3 linked regions of the Daphnia pulex genome follow. The protein of the gene in region 2 purifies or fractionates together with the protein of the main gene of each other region. This does not show direct contact. Links are inferred from orthologs where the notes say so. Each region holds a gene or a part of one and is shown on either strand. Other genes may lie near its edges.

Region 1 (5,097 bases), on a different chromosome or scaffold from region 2:
GATCTTGACTATCTGGCGCCGATTCCTCTTCACCACGCCGTTCAGAATCCATCATGCGATCTCCAAAACCACGTCGGAATCCTCTTGATCTACCTCGAAAACCTGAAAACGATCACGTGGAAATTAGACCAAGAACACCGAAAAATGCAGTCACATAAAAGAAAAAAAGACAAGCAGTTCAGGTTTGAACTAGAACAAAATGCTTTTCATTTCCCCTTTTAACTTCGCACAAGAAACAACTTTTAACCACTTTTCCATTAGTCATAGCATTTTCAACACATCCCCTAGTCTACGAATCACAACAAATTACTAGAAGACATGACAACATCTGCCCAAATGTTTTCCCATCCTCCAGGGAATCGCAAAACTACTGTAGGTCATAGATATTGGAAAAGTGTACGAAAAGCACACATCATATCATCCCCTTATGGGGAAGGACGGATACTGTGTTAATCAATGGACATAACATTCTCCTCAATTCAGTCATGAAAATACACACGTGTGTAAAGACTCACCGCTGTCGCGATCTCCTCGTTCAACGTGCTCATTTCGTTCCAGACGATCAGCCCGTTCTCCTCGACCACGAGTTACTCCTCGACCCCTCACCGATGATGCAATCCCACTTCTTTCCACATTAAATCTTTCCACAAAACGACCACTGCTGACAGGTGCTCCTCTCCCTCCACCTCGACCCCGACCACGTGTCATGTTTCCTCGGTCACGATTTCCTCCATTATCTGGTTCAGCACTATACCCCCTAAAAATAAATTTAATTGGAGGAATGCCAAGAAATTTAAAATAAAACAAACAAACAAACAGCCAAAATACCTATCAATGCGTCGTGGAGGTGGGAAGGTAGGGGCAGATGTTAGGTTGCTATTGTGAATAGAGCGAAGTTGCTGATCGATCTCCAATTTCTCCATGCGTAATTGTTCCACTTCCTGGAAACAGTCAAAAAAGAGTAATTAATACAGCAGCTTAAAAATCTTTAGGGGGATGACAACTCAATGTATGATTGTCTACTGCTACAGAAAGTAACCATGTCAAGTATAATTAATACTGATTTGGAATCAACCATGCTGAATGAATAGAAACAAAAACGTTGCAAAGAGAGGCTACAAATGGTGATACTAGGAGGAACTAGACTAAAATTTCGTACTTTCAAATGTGCTAGATGATACTCGAGAAGGACTTTGGCATTGGCTATGGAGTCCACTGTGCCCACGAACACAAATGGAACCAATCCATCTTCGCGAGGATGAGTCGGATTAGGTTCGTTGTCTCCTTCAATTTTAACCCGGACAACATTACTCTTGTCGACAATCTCTTGAATGACACGCCCGTTCTTTCCTATGACTTTTCCGACCAAAAACCGAGGCACCTGAATGGATTCTTCGCCATATTCCAGCATTCCACGAGCTTTTCTTACTGAATCTTCAATCTGAAATTCGAAACCACCAATTACAACAAAACCACATGAAATAAAATAAGGCGGTAAATGAAATACTTCTCCGTGTATACGAAAGGTACAGGAATTCTCCAATAGCTCAATGTTGGTTATCCCATCAATCTTTCGAGCTTGTTGAATGTTGGCTCCATGCGCTCCAATAGCCAATCCCATCAAATCCTCCCTCACCGTGAACTCCTCCGTAAAGCTTCAGAAATAAGATAACTTAAGTAAGAAATGCAAAAAACTGTTGACGCTATTCACTCACCCTCCGCTAGAATGTGTTCTTGTACATTCGAGCTGTTTAGCAGCTTCTTCAGTTCTTTTGAGCAGCACCACTTTTTGCGTCAGGTTACGAAAATGCATATCCTGCAACAGACCAGCTCGCTTTCGACTGGATTCGTGCCGTGACTGAACAATCAAAAACATTAATACATTAATACCAGATCAATAAATAAAGAAAAACAAAACTTACCATAACACTAAGCATTCCTTTATCGGGTACATATCGACAGACGGCTGCTTCAATCGCTTTTTGAAATTCCTTGTGTACTCCATCCCTCTTAGCACTGAAACAGATAGTGGTGCAATTACAATTTGGTTTAGGTGTTTTTGGTATACACCAAATAAATATTGTTTTTCTCATTTCATTTGAATAATTAATACTGTTTTGGGTTTTGTTAAGTTAACAAGTGTAAGTAAAACTCACTATTCCCGTAGTTCTTCAGGCACCTCAATTTCAAATTTGAAAAAGTTGGCTTTTGTTAAAGGTGAATTGGTGTTTGATGGACGAATTCTCTCACCAGGTACTATTTCCGAATATGACATCTCCCAGCCAACATATTCCACGACATAAAACTCTCCTCTGATCATCTAAGAATAAAATAAATACCAATGAATTTCAATGTATTAATTCTAGATCATCTTTCAGAAATATTTTCTTGTTTCCTTTAAAAATGAATTAATCAAGAAAATTACCTTAATAACAGCTTTCCACCAACCAAATGCTTCCTGTTCATTTGCTTTTGAGTAAACTTCAATTTCTTGGTTTTCTACAAATGTAAATGGACCTTTGCTGTCCTTGAGAGGTAAGCGGGACCTTGAAAATAGAAACTTTGTTTCTGGCTGCCAACTAATAAAAAAGGGTAATTATTGGTTTGGTAAATTCTAACTTATTTAATATACATACTCATTCTCAAATGCAACAGAAATCTCATCTTCATGAACATCAGTGACAAATGCCTGTAGAAGATGGCATAAAATTCAAATAGTTATAACACAAAATAAGACAAACTAAACACAGCTATGAAAATTTATAAAAAAGGACGTAGAAATTTGCATCAAAACAGTCGGTAAATCCTTAATACTAACAAATTCTACAAGCCAAGCCATATTATCAAAAAGGGCAGGGCCGGTTCATTCACTACCGATTCCAGCCTAACATTTTCGGACTTAAAAGACTATAAACAATATTATCGTTATACATGATGAATCCAGAAGAAATAATTCAAATTTATACAGAATTGACATTGCTACAGAAATTAATAAATATGTATTTTATTATTCACCTTATACCAAGCCCCATTTTCACCCCGGACTTCAACGGCAAGATCCTCCATTTTCCTCGGGGAGCTCGAACACCGTTGCCAAATTGCTCAATTCCAAATTGCAATGCCTATGACTCGTTTCCCCTTGCCAGATTTATTCTAATGATCAACGTTTTCTCAGAGTTGGTTTTCTATTGCCAATCGTCAGTTTTCGTCACGTGTCGCTTTCGTTAAACTACTGCATCTTAAAAAAAATTAGAATACAGACTAAAACTATATTTCATTAGATAATGTAAAATACAATTCCAATTTTATGGAATGTTGCTAAAACGAAAGCGATCCCTATTTGTTTTGACATAAAATCAGGTTAACACTTCACAGTTGGGAATTGGGATTAATAAGATGTTGATGGTTACCTATCAACTTTTACGAAAGATCGTCTATCAACTTCTTGCTCTCTATTGAGCCTAGAATAATGTTTCAAAAATTACCGGTGGTTTGCATTTCTTAAGAAAATTCCTTAAGTTTCTGTGTAAATTTTAAGAAATCTTATGCTATCCCGAGGACTCGGAATTTATTATTTCAAGTCAAAACCATAATGGATGTAAAAATATGTGAATAATCGCATTCGAGCTGATTCTAATGGAAAAAAAGAAAACATTCTAATGGAAAACAATTTATTAGAATAAAAATCCCAACCTCAATTCGTCTCAATTAAAAACAATTCGTCTCAATTAAAAAAAAAAGAAGTTAAATAGCAGAAAAAGAAAGTGTTACCGCTATACTTGAATGATATAGGCACACAACTAACGGTCACGACAGCTGAAGCTGATAGTTTGCTTCTTTCCAAAAGTATTTTATCACGCCAATTTCGATTATACTTAACAAAAACAAAAAGTAGATTTATTTGCTGTAATCTTTTGATGTAAAAATTCAGCGTGAATCGAAATGGATACCCAAAACCGAATATTCATAAAAGATTCAAATTGAGTTAAACTGAATCGTGATTTGGCCAATTCGAGTCGAGACCATTGGAAAAAAAAGAACTATCCAACTCAGGAAAATTACCGCAGTTTTTGGAAGCTTCGGAACAATTCTCCGATGCATATGAGAATATGCACCTCTAGACCTTTTTATTGTTACTTAATCCACGGTACCAACAAAAGTAGCATCCGTAACCCGAACCCGATGCCAAATTTTAACAGCACTTTGTCTGCCCTACTGCATCAGTTTAAACGATAAATCAATTTAATACATGATTAGGTTAAACTAATTAATGTTACAAATTCACAAAAAAATAATTATCTGATTACCAAATTTTACTTAAATTTTTTTTTTTAAATCACACGAAGGAACGCTCCAGTATCACTCATTGGTGTGCTTACATGCTTACAAGTACATCACAATATCAACTTGTTCATGGAAGATAAATGAAATAAATACTAAAACTGGGCACATCATTTTTGTTTTAACAGCTTAATGATTCTGTTTTGAATTTCAAGCCTACATCTTGAGAGCAATAGTTTCACAAAAAATTACACATTATAAAACTTCTGGGTCTCTTCCAAGGCTGTTAAGAAATTGCCTAACAAGATCAGCCAAAATACGACGCTTAAATCTGAGACATTCGCTGATAACATCCATGACTACAGATTTGCGTAAGTCCAACGACCCTTTAAGACGGGAAAGTTCATTGAAAACGCCACTAAAATCTGCAATATAAAATTTGTCAAATATTTGCCAAGATTGAATAAGACTGATTACAACTCACTCCTGCCAGGTCGTTTAATTGCTCGACATGCAGCAGATTTGACTTGAAGATTATGTTGTTGTATTTCTTGAATTTCGGAGCGTCGTAAATTTCCATTAAGAGACAGTTTGTCGCCAACGCCGGTGCAATTAAGAAAACTGTAACTGCTATTCTCGTGGTTTCCGTATACGTCTAAGGAATATTTGTTTTAAAAGTGAATAACTAACTCAAAGATTTCTTTTAAAACACCAAGATAGAGGCAATTACCTTTAATATCACCATTAACAAGATGATTGGTCATGGTAGAAGCAAGAGTGTCAGGACTCCCTATTGTACCATTTTCAGTTAAAGTT
Region 2 (5,408 bases):
TGTTGGGAAGTCCCGAACCACTAGCAGCAAGCGTCGTGCCCGATTGCTTGTTTGCCGCAGTAGCTGCAGACGTTACAGCGCTGGGTTGCCTAGAAGAAGCCGACGCAGCCGTAGCACTGGGCATGTCTCCTCTTAGCGAAGAGACGGAGCTCGATGCATCATTCAAGCTACTGGCAGCGCTCAATTTGTTGTTGTACGTCTGGTAACTAGATTGTTGTTGTTGCTGCTGCTGTTGTTGCTGAGGTTGCTGTTGTGGCTGTTGCTGGGCATAAGAACCGTAAGCGGTTTGACTGCTAGCACCTTGATATCCCGAGTTGGATGAATTGTTACTGTACACACCGCCTTGAAAGTAGATATGCGGATTAAAATAATGTTGGCCAAGCAAATACAGGAATTCATTTTCAGGTAGGCACATACTTGTCTGACTGCTGGAGGGATAAGCACCAGCCGGCTGAGAGACACCCGTAGTCGTTGCCTGAGTAGAAGCACTATTCACGCCGGGAGGCGCGTAAGACGTGCCGTATGGATACGACGCTGGACTATTGGTCGATTTTACTTGAGTGGATGTCGTCGCCATCGATTGTTGAGAAGCCGATGCTGACGACGCGGAAAAACCACCTAGAGAAGAATCGGGTTTGGGCAATGTTGAAGGTGCAGGCGGCTGTGGAGCAGAAGCATTACTGGCGTACTGCTGTTCCATCTTCGACATAAGTCCATGTTTCGATTGCTGCTGTTGTTGTTGTTGCTGCTGTTGATGTTGTTGCTGCTGCTGTTGATGTTGTTGCTGCTGCTGTTGATGTTGATGATGATGATGTTGCTGCTGCTGCTGCTGCTGCTGTTGTTGTTGTTGCTGATGATGATCTGGCTGCTTCGACATATTCATGTTCGCTGTGGATGAAGGAATCATCGAAACGTCGATGTTCATATCGAAACCGGAAGGTTCGATACCAAAATCAAGGGTTCCAAATTTCACATCCAGTCCGGAAACAATTGGATCGTCCGGCATTTCAACTGCAGAGAGAGGAATCTGCACAAGGAACAATAAAGCAGCCGTTAGTTCAATTACAAATTTACTTAATGGGAATTAAACATACTTTAGAAGGTGGAGGGATTTTAGCTCGCAAAGGCTTCGCGGATTTCATGTTGGATGAAGGAACTCCGCCAACACCCATAGCAGCTTTTAGTGCATCAGTTGCTTGGCTATATTGTAGGAATTGTTGCTGCATCGACGATCCAGCCACTGTGACGCCAGACGTCTTTTGGAGCAGTGCATTCAAGTCGATGCCTTGTTGCGCGCTGTTGTTGATGGTGGAATATTGAACCTGAGGTGGAGGAGCAGGAACAGGAACAACAGGTTCGACATGGCTACTGCTGCTGCTACCGCCGCCGTTAGAAATTGATGTTGAACCGTTCGTCAGCGGCGTAGGTTCGGGAATAACGGGTGTTGGTGCTGGAACATTTGCTGCAGCCGATTGGGACGGTGTAAACACCTTTGTTTCAACCAATGAACCGATGTATTCTTCGTTATCCCAATCTTCTGCCGATGGAAAGTCGACTCCCCAAGGCTCAACGTTTGTCATGGCTGAGTACTCGGCACCTTCCTCCCATGTATCAGCGACTGGGGCAGGGCCACGTTGTCCTCGGCGGAAACCTCCTCGACCACCTCGACCACCACCACCACTACCTCGACCACTAGATCCTTCTCTTCCAGGTCCATTTGACATACGTGGGCCGCTACGAGATCCTCTTCCACGAGATCCGCCAAATTCCCCATCACCTTCTTCCACATTTTCCTTGTTATCTCGACCACGGCCGCGTCCTCGCAGCCTAGGTGGGCCACCACGACTGCTTCTTGGCCTGTCCCTCTCGCGATCCCTTCCACGTCCGGCTCCTGTTCCACTGCCACCCTCCGTTCCATCACCACCTACTGGTTGCTGAGCTGACTGCTTGGGTTTCTTCTTCTTCCCTGACACTTCCCAGTCACCCTAAAATTGATCAAATTGGTACATATTCACTAATTTATTTTTCACAAAAGTAACTACCTCAGTTTCTCCATCAAGGAGGACTGCAATGGCATGTTCCAAATCATTATTTGAATCATGGAGAGCAATGATTGCTGCATCAGGACTGCAGTTGGTCAACTCCACCAGCTAAAAATACACAAAGAACTGAGTTAGAAAATACAAAATACATTCTTCAATGTAACTGCACACCTTGTTGACTTTTTCTGGAAGTTCTGGATCATCCTTTCTGCTGTCACTGATCATCTGAGCAATACGAAGTTGCTCAGCAGTAGGCTAAACATTAAAAAAAAAATATCATTATTTGCACCAGTTACAGATTTTAAATGAAAACTGTAGGCATCGAACTTACCAGGAGCTTAGGATTGATTTGATCAACTGCTTTGCTGGAATCATTTTTTGACTCTCCAGTTTTGGAATTTGCCATCTTTGAGGAAGAATGGGATGCTGTGTCCTTGGATAAAGTCTGAGAAGCATTGGTGGAGGACTTGCCTTTATCCCCTTTCTTAGCTGTTGAACTCATTCTCATTCGTACAAGATTGCCACTGGTTTAGTACTGTTGTGCCCCAAACCAATTACCGATTTGTATGTACACACAACTATGTACAGAAATTCTGCAAAGACAAAATTACATTAAATTACAGGTAACATCAATAAACCACACAACTGATGAACCTATCTACTACCCAGTTACGAAAATGTTCTACACTTCAAATAATTCAACGACACAAATCATTCAGAATCAACTACGACGTGAGTTATAAACGTTGTAATTGATGGTGTGAATACCCGACTTCCTCACCAAATAATAAAAAGCACAATGAAAATTAAAATGGATTGCAATTAAAAGGCTTCAGCAAGACGTTGAGCAATGTTCTGAAATCGCAGTTTCGACATCAAGAACAATACAAAGGATAGGCCATGTGGCTCAGAGACGCCATCTTTGCTCAAAGAAAAAGAAGGGGGGGACGCCGGCAACAATCATCGCCCGCGCCCGTTTCCATAAGCCCCTTGTGAAACCCTCGTTGGATGCAAGACACGAGATATATTTACTGTTGGACCGAAAACTATAAATGCTCATCTAACAACCTTATTTCCCTTTCCACTACGACAAATCACAACCGAAGTGTTAATTCACGAAATGTTTTTAAACAAATTCCAAAGTTAAAATCGAGGCCGTACCTGCGAGTAGTCTACACGATGAATCACAAAAGCCGTCGTACACTTTTGTTAACTCTGCGAGTGCGACGCTGCCAATTCGCTTTTGAAACCATCTACGGATATAGGCCGCCTCTCTCGTACTTCGTACCCCCCTCCCTTGCATCTATTTTCATGCATGTACCGCAAGTTAGCTGCTTGCTAGTTGCTATATCTTAAAATATTGATCCATTTATTGATCCACCTGTCTATTTCCGAGAGACTGATAACACCCACGGATGTATCTCTATTGCACCGACTTACACGAATTCTATAGGAAACGAAAATAGGTTGTAATTTAATAGACTAAAACATTTGTTATAGCTTTCTTTATTTGTTGGCCTTCGAGATTGTGCTAAGCCAGCGTTTTCTCCGTCAATAAAGAGTAAATTAAGCACCAAGAGGAGATTGTAACCCAAGCAATATAATTTACATCGTATTCCTTTCAATGAGATTCTCCAAATGCAAAGAAAATGTTCGTGGAAAAGAAAGATACCGAGAAAAAAAGGGAAAGGATAAGTTATTCGATTTCCAATACAGGTAGCGCATTTATCGTCCGCCGTAACGCTAGTAGTTTTAGCGCCGAAATATCATGTAATGCCTAGGACTAGGAGGTCCTTGTTTATTGGTAACGTCCTTTCTGACTTTTACTTCGAGAATAAAGAAAGGAAAAATAATATTTATCTTTTAGAATTTTTTAAAGATACAAAAATGTACATGTCAAGTGGGTTCTAACCGCTCTATAAAACGCGCGCAATTTAAACCTAGCGTTTTCGTGAGTTCAACCCATATTTATTCCTGAGATTCAATTGTATTTTCCGAATCGTGTAAACGTGCATTCACTTTAATTTATTAGTGTTAAAATTGGAAAAAAATTTGCATATCGGAATCTTATCGATTTACAAGAAAAAACAAATGATCGATATTTAGAGCCATCATATGTTTTGTATCACGTTATTTCACGTTATTTTTTTCTTCGTTTGTTTTGATTTTAAAAGATTTACGAAAAATGTTAATTAAATTATCCTTTTCAAGTGTGGATTCTTCGTATTAAGCCAAAAAGAAATTTGCGTAAGAATGGACAGGCTTACCTTTCAAATAGGCGAGCGGTTCGATTATTTGCAGGTAAGATTTTCTCTTGTTGTTGAATTGGTTGTTGAAGATAAATATTAAAAGAATTCTTTTTTAAACGCAGCATACGATTTCGCCTTATATTGAAAACAGCACACGGTTAGCCAAAAATGCCTTAAACTATGTATCAAATCAAAGCAGTTCAGCTTTCTCTAATTTAGTGGGATCAAGCGATTCAGGTATTCCGTTCCATACCTGGGCCAATTGGCAATGGAGTTGGTTTCTTGAGAATTGCCGTTCTTGGATCAATAGTTTGAAACAGTCTCTGGCTGTTCAGTACAATGGAATGGGTCAATTTTTCGAAAGTGTTTTAGATTATATCCAACAAAAACTCTATCATCTGCAATCCATGCTGAGTTTTCAGATTATTCAGAAGTATTTGTCAGCAGTTGATCAAAGCCATATTTACTTTCTCTTGTCTGGAATTGCTATTGGATTCATCATTGGGATACAAATCAAACAGAATGTCAAGCCCCTTACACGCATGAGGGCTTTAGTTTGTAATTCATATGCTGGAGCTCCAGAGTCAATTGCTATGATTGATGACATGGTAGCTCCAAATAGCTGTGGGGCTGAAGATGTCATGATCCAAGTTAAAGCATCCTCCATTGATCCCATTGACATCAAGATCACCTTTGGATACGGAAAAGTGATTAGGAGCCAATATCATCATTATCATCAAGTATACTTCAAACATTTTTTACAATTTTTTTATCACCATTTTATTATTTACTACTATTATTCAGACACATGGGAAGAATTTGCTCTTTCCATTTGTTTTAGGTAGGGAGTGTTCTGGAAGAGTCGTCGAGATAGGCTCAAAAGTTCAGGACTTGGACGTTGGAGATGAGGTGTATGCCGCTGTACCTTATTACGCTTGTGGAACTGCGTCTGAATGCGCTTTAATACCTGCCCAATGGGTGGCTAAAAAGCCCAGAAAACTCTCCTATGAAGCTGCCGCTTCACTGCCGTATTCGGCATCGATTGTGTGGAATGCACTCGTGCATCAGGCTTCCTTCAACGAGCTTACGACACGGGATAAACGGTATGAACAACTTC
Region 3 (5,366 bases), on a different chromosome or scaffold from region 2:
AGAAAGAATTTGTTCACGTCATTCCACTTCCGAAATGTCAAAACATCGAAGATCAGACAGTCGAGAATGGTAGTTTTTTTTAACATATTTTGGGATTTTCCTTAAATTTTTTAATTAACGTACAGAGCAAGCAAATCAAGAAAAGTTTTGCGAAGATGCCCAAAGGGTAATTGAAAACGCTTCGAAAAATGGACGATCAATTGGCATCCTTTTGTCAGAAATGGTCATATCAGCAGCTGGATTGGTGATACCACCTTTGGGCTACTTCAAAAACCTCTACCAGTAAGTGCTGCACATTCTTCAATAAGTTTACATTACAAGATTTGATTTGTATTTAATGAAATGCTATGTTGCAGGATGATTCGAAACCAAGGAGGTATTTGCATTGCAGATGAAGTGCAGACAAGTTTAGGTCGCATTGGAGGAGATTTTTGGGCGTTCCAGGTTGCGTCATCAAATTAATAAGATAAATTGTTGAAAATTTAAGTATCATAAGAAATCTTTTGTATTCTAGTTGTATGGTGTCGTGCCAGATATTCTCACTTTTGGAAAATCCATAGGAAATGGTTTTCCCATTGCTGCCGTTGTAACATCGAGAGAGATAGCAAGTTGTTTGCCAGAGTATATGAATACGGTAAATCTTGTAAAAAAAGCGAAACGTGTCACCCCATTGTGTTAACTCGCTTTAAATGAATTCTTTTAGTATGGGGGAAATCCTTTGGCGTGCGCAATTGGTAAAGCAGTCTTGGAAGTGATTGTCAACGAAAAGTTAATGTATTCAGCCAAAATGGTTGGAAAATCCCTTTTGGAAGGACTGAGAGGATTGATGTCGAAGCACCCAAGTATCGGAGATGTTCGTGGAATGGGTCTTTGCGTCGGTGTGGAGGTAGTTTGTGGACGTCCAGATATGAAGCCTGCGACGATTCTAGCTAATCGCATTCTTTATTTGTAAGGAAACTTTTAAATTTATGTAATTAATAGAAGTTTCTCCAAATTTAATGCCATTAATCAATTTGAAACAAGAATTAAAAGTAAATACTAAAGCCTGTTTTTTTTTTTTTTTTCAAAATGCTGTAGGTTGAAAGAAGAAAAGGTGATTGTTGCTACCCAAGGTGAAGAACGTAATGTAATCGCCCTAACTCCACCACTATGCTTTACGTTGGACAATGCCCGGCGTGTCGTTGAAGCATTCGATAAGGCTTTCACGAAGGCCAACCAGAGTGAAGAGTCGGAACCAGTAAGGCCTAATACGTCTTTTCTCGGGTACGTTAATATTGGCGCTCAAAATGAATTGATTTGACATTATGTTAACTTTATTTTCTCTTATGAGTAGACTGGATAATATTCCGCTCAATGTGATGGGAGGTGACGAAGAAACAGATACGTCTCCTGCTAAAAGACAGAGAACCTATGAGGAAATGGACTAAAGATATTAGTTAATGCGACTTTTTTCTCGTCTGTTTTATATATTTGTGGAAAAATCCTCATAGTTTTATAAGTTTTTGTTACTGCTCTGTTAACGTTCTCTAAATCCTGCGTTAAGTCCGTCATATTTCCAGCATATCCAAGATTTCCCGACGGCGATTTAGGGGGTGGTATACATACAGTTCTTAAATTCCTGAGATTCTGGTCAAAGTTGTTATAATTTCAAAATCTCATAACTAAGGTTAGGAGTTGTATCTCATTATGTCTGGGTCATAACTGGATTAGTTTAAATTTTGGAGAGGAAATATCATTGTGGGATGTTTGTTTTTACTTTGTTATTGTAAACATTGTGTATTCACTTATAAACTTTGGGACAAATATACGTTGTTAACCAATCCTACGAAATTTCTCTTTCATTTTGTTACTGTATCCTTTTTGCTGATGCCAACACATTTATTAAGCAGAATGCCCCATTTCTTTAGGTGATTGGAAACTAATAAAATTGTTCTACGAAATTCCTCCATGAATTTTGACGCTGCTATTTTAAGCTTTTCTTGACTGCAACTATACTGTCACATCTCACATGAACATGGCCTCGTGACTCATTCGTAATGCAAAAAACGAAAAAAATAATCTCTTATTACGCAGAAGAATATTTTTGCATAGCAAAATGCTCGCAGTTTTGCAAATTGCAATAGACTTTTTAAAAAATGTTGGATTTGCGATTTGCCTGCTGCGCGGCGAAATATTTTAAGTGCGTAGAATTCATTTAATGAAATCGAGAAACGCTGGCTGAAGCGCCTCCAAGCGGCCCACAAGCCGAAACCTAGGAAAAGAGAGAAGAAAAAAGAAGCCGAGCATTGGTCAGTGCATAGTTGCATGTGTTGCCGCGTACGAATTGCTTGTTACGGGTATTGAAAGGTAATGTGTGTTTTATGTTAAGCTTCATTATGCCGAAAATTGAATATTTGAATCACGAAATTCTTTAACCTTTGCTCGTGACTATATTTATAGCTTTTACCTACCAAGTTAAGTAACAACTCTATGAAAACTGAAAGCTGTGATCGGGTAGAAATTTTTGAACTCCCACAGCGTGAGGGGTGATACTACCTCGTTGTTCGTTCGTTGTCTTGACAGTCCCATTTTGTTGTTCGTTTTCATTCAAATTTAGCCAGTAACTTTCTCTTAAAGTATTAAATAAGTTTGTTTGTTGCCAAGGTAAAATTATTGCTTATCTGGGTTGTGATTTTAAGACTAAATTGTAAAAGATAAAAGTTGCCACAGAATCTGACTCAGTCCCTTTGTGCAAGATAAGAACTCTTGATAAATTAATATAATTCTTTTTTTCTTAACTAGGTTCAATTGAAGTTATTAGACTTCAGTAAACCATACAGATCTTCCCACTTCAACTTCATTTTCTAGTGAAAACTATTCTTCAATAAAATCAGCATGGTCATGGAAGCCGTTCCGAGCCCACAATGTGTGGGAAGGGAGTTTGTACGTCAGTACTACACCCTTCTCAATAAAGCTCCTCTGCATTTGCACAGGTATCTATAGACTGTGGTGTAACTCATGTAAGGATCTTGATCTTGTGGTAGTAATTTTGTTTTAACATCAGGTTTTACAATCATGATTCGTCATTTGTCCATGGAGGACTCAAGGAACGTTTGCCAGAAGAAGTCCATGGTCAACAGCAAATCCATCAGAAGATCATGGAGCTCGACTTCCATGATTGCAAAGCGAAGATCTTGTTGGTTGACTCCCATCGCACTCTAGAGAATGGAGTTGTTGTCCAGGTATGATGTCTTACTATTAACATATTATCCACAGTTACCAATGTGCATCCTTTTTCCAAGGTATCTGGTGAGCTGTCCAACAATGGTCAACCAATGCGCCGGTTTGTTCAAACTTTCGTGTTAGCCCCGCAATCAGCTAAAAAGTACTACGTTCGCAACGACATCTTTCGCTATCAGGTAAGTTACTACTAATTATCCTGATTGGTTTCATAAATAAAACGTTATTCATTTTCAGGACGATGCTTTCTTTGACGATGAGGATGGCGTCGAAGACCGTCCAGTTGAGAACGAGAATGAAGTGCAACAACCGCGTCCCGCTCCCGTAAGATTCGTTAATTGGTCTTCATCGAAATTCAACCATTTCAATTACTTTCTGTCTTAAACAGGTTGAAGTTAATCATGCTCCGGTGGCTCCCGCTGTCGTTCCTCAACCAACGGTCCAACAAACTGAGTTGACTGCCGGACATGCAATTGGAATGAACGGAACTGATCAACACGTCGAAGAAGAAATTCGTCAGAGGACTACTCCTTCGGTCACCACATATACGGTTCCACCTGTTCAACAACCAGAACCCGTACAACAAGTCTCTCGTCCACCGAAAGTTGTTACACCTCCAACTGCAGTAGCAGCACCACCACCACCTGAGAAGTTCGAAGCTGCTCCCGAACCGGTTCGAGAACCTGAGCCACCCTCTGTTCCAGAGCCAGCACCTGCACCTGCTAAACGTGCACCTGAGACAGTGGCGGCTTCTAATCCATCGGTATGTCAAAATATACATTTCAAGTATGTGCTCTAGTGTAAAGTGGGATTGTTTTATCAGGCTCCCTCAGAACCGAAGACCTTTGCAAACTTGTTCAAGAACCCCGGCGCTTACAATGGCACAACTACTGGTCTCCCCTCAACCGTACCTCCATTTGGTTCGGTGAAGAGCACTACTACAACTAGCTCTACCTCTACTGCTGCTCCTGCTACTGCTCCTGTTACTCAGGTAGTTGTTTTAAAATCATATCAGTCAAGGTTCAGAAACTTTACGATTTACTTTTTTTCATGTTGTAGACCAACACTGAATCTACCTCGGCTACTACAAACGTCAATGGTAACGATAGTTTCCCTGCTGCTGGACAAACACAGCCGCAACGAAATAACTATCAACGCTCTGCACGTCCTCCAGCGATGGGAAATGGTCGCACCGTATCGGGTCCAGGATCTTACAACAACAGAGATCGAGATCAAGACCGAGGTAAGATTTTCTTTACATCTCTATCCGTGTGTATTTAATTTCAAATACTTACTTAGGCGAAAAAGGTGAACGGTGGTCCGATAACCGTGCCCCATCTCGGGACTCGACTGAAGAGATCGGAGAATGGAAACAACCCAATGGAGACGGTTACCAACGTGAAAAGGACCGTGAATTCCGTCGATATGATGACAATCTTCAAGTTTTCGTTGGGAACATTCCTCACGTAACAACTGAAGAAGCTCTCAAGGTATTTCCTTTGCACCAACCAAAGTAGGGCAACCATTAATATTGGTTCTTTTCAGGAATTGTTTGAGCGTTTCGGCCCCGTTCTTGATGTTAGGATCCACGGCAAGAATGGTGTCCGAGCTGCTGGTGGAAGAGCTCCACTCTACGCTTTTGTTGTTTTTGAATCGCCAAAGGCTGCAGAAGCTGCGCTTGCAGACAAGGTATTCAACTTAGCACAGAGGAGGGAATGACAGTATAATTGAATCAATATTCTTTTTGTAGCCCATGCTGAATGGAGATCACCGACTGAATGTTGAGCCGAAGCGTCGCAACGGCCCACCCAACTCATCAGGTCCTCGCGACGGTCAGCGTGGTGGTTCGATGAATCGCGGAGGTGGCATGGGAGGTCCTGGTAGGGGAGGGCGTCCCATGGGTTCTATGGGAATGGGCATGAACAGCGGCCCACCACGCGAGGGAGGCAATAGTGGAGGTGGTGGAGGACGTGGAATGGGAAGCGGAGGTGGACGTGGTGGATACATGCCTCGTCGTCAATAAAGAAGGAAGGCCGTGTTTTCTTGCAAACCTTTTAATTTTCAAACTTACTTTCTTTGTCCTCATGTAGGACTTTCTCTCCACTACGTTTAATTTAACCTACCAGTTTATTATTATTTTTTTTTTT

What was found. Proteins that work in one complex are often made in the same cells at the same time.
Region 1: the proteins of protein lingerer-like (region 2) and fragile X mental retardation syndrome-related protein 1-like purify together in Drosophila melanogaster (affinity purification with western blotting; 3 studies listed by BioGRID, with this or other methods). This does not show direct contact. The link is inferred for Daphnia pulex from reciprocal best matches to the Drosophila melanogaster genes lig and Fmr1.
Region 3: the proteins of protein lingerer-like (region 2) and ras GTPase-activating protein-binding protein 1-like purify together in Drosophila melanogaster (affinity purification with western blotting; 3 studies listed by BioGRID, with this or other methods). This does not show direct contact. The link is inferred for Daphnia pulex from reciprocal best matches to the Drosophila melanogaster genes lig and rin.

What each region holds. Positions count from the first base shown.
Region 1 is NC_060025.1:5,456,908-5,462,004, forward strand, and holds the start of fragile X mental retardation syndrome-related protein 1-like, read right to left. Parts: upstream 3,177-5,097; 5' UTR 3,067-3,176; coding exon 3,016-3,066; intron 2,690-3,015; coding exon 2,637-2,689; intron 2,580-2,636; coding exon 2,426-2,579; intron 2,321-2,425; coding exon 2,157-2,320; intron 2,017-2,156; coding exon 1,923-2,016; intron 1,859-1,922; coding exon 1,716-1,858; intron 1,656-1,715; coding exon 1,508-1,655; intron 1,442-1,507; coding exon 1,160-1,441; intron 942-1,159; coding exon 829-941; intron 758-828; coding exon 516-757; intron 103-515; coding exon 1-102. Other genes in the region: integrator complex subunit 6-like, read right to left, coding at 4,537-4,706, 4,766-4,936, 5,012-5,097. UniProt on the Drosophila melanogaster protein: Polyribosome-associated RNA-binding protein that plays a role in neuronal development and synaptic plasticity through the regulation of protein synthesis of mRNAs.
Region 2 is NC_060028.1:8,098,870-8,104,277, reverse strand, and holds the start of protein lingerer-like, read right to left. Parts: upstream 3,251-5,408; 5' UTR 3,204-3,250; exon of another isoform or gene 3,111-3,203; intron 3,096-3,110; exon of another isoform or gene 2,697-3,095; intron 2,636-2,696; 5' UTR 2,551-2,635; coding exon 2,374-2,550; intron 2,298-2,373; coding exon 2,214-2,297; intron 2,151-2,213; coding exon 2,043-2,150; intron 1,986-2,042; coding exon 1,095-1,985; intron 1,028-1,094; coding exon 1-1,027. Other genes in the region: reticulon-4-interacting protein 1 homolog, mitochondrial-like, read left to right, coding at 4,296-4,343, 4,414-5,031, 5,096-5,394. UniProt on the Drosophila melanogaster protein: Acts in the nervous system to mediate the control of copulatory organs during courtship.
Region 3 is NC_060021.1:6,438,195-6,443,560, forward strand, and holds the start of ras GTPase-activating protein-binding protein 1-like, read left to right. Parts: upstream 1-2,190; 5' UTR 2,191-2,346; intron 2,347-2,496; exon of another isoform or gene 2,497-2,643; intron 2,644-2,781; 5' UTR 2,782-2,874; coding exon 2,875-2,972; intron 2,973-3,043; coding exon 3,044-3,221; intron 3,222-3,281; coding exon 3,282-3,398; intron 3,399-3,456; coding exon 3,457-3,543; intron 3,544-3,607; coding exon 3,608-3,982; intron 3,983-4,042; coding exon 4,043-4,210; intron 4,211-4,278; coding exon 4,279-4,462; intron 4,463-4,518; coding exon 4,519-4,709; intron 4,710-4,764; coding exon 4,765-4,908; intron 4,909-4,969; coding exon 4,970-5,242; 3' UTR 5,243-5,366. Other genes in the region: ethanolamine-phosphate phospho-lyase-like, read left to right, coding at 1-69, 126-282, 357-444, 515-634, 704-948, 1,078-1,263, 1,334-1,427.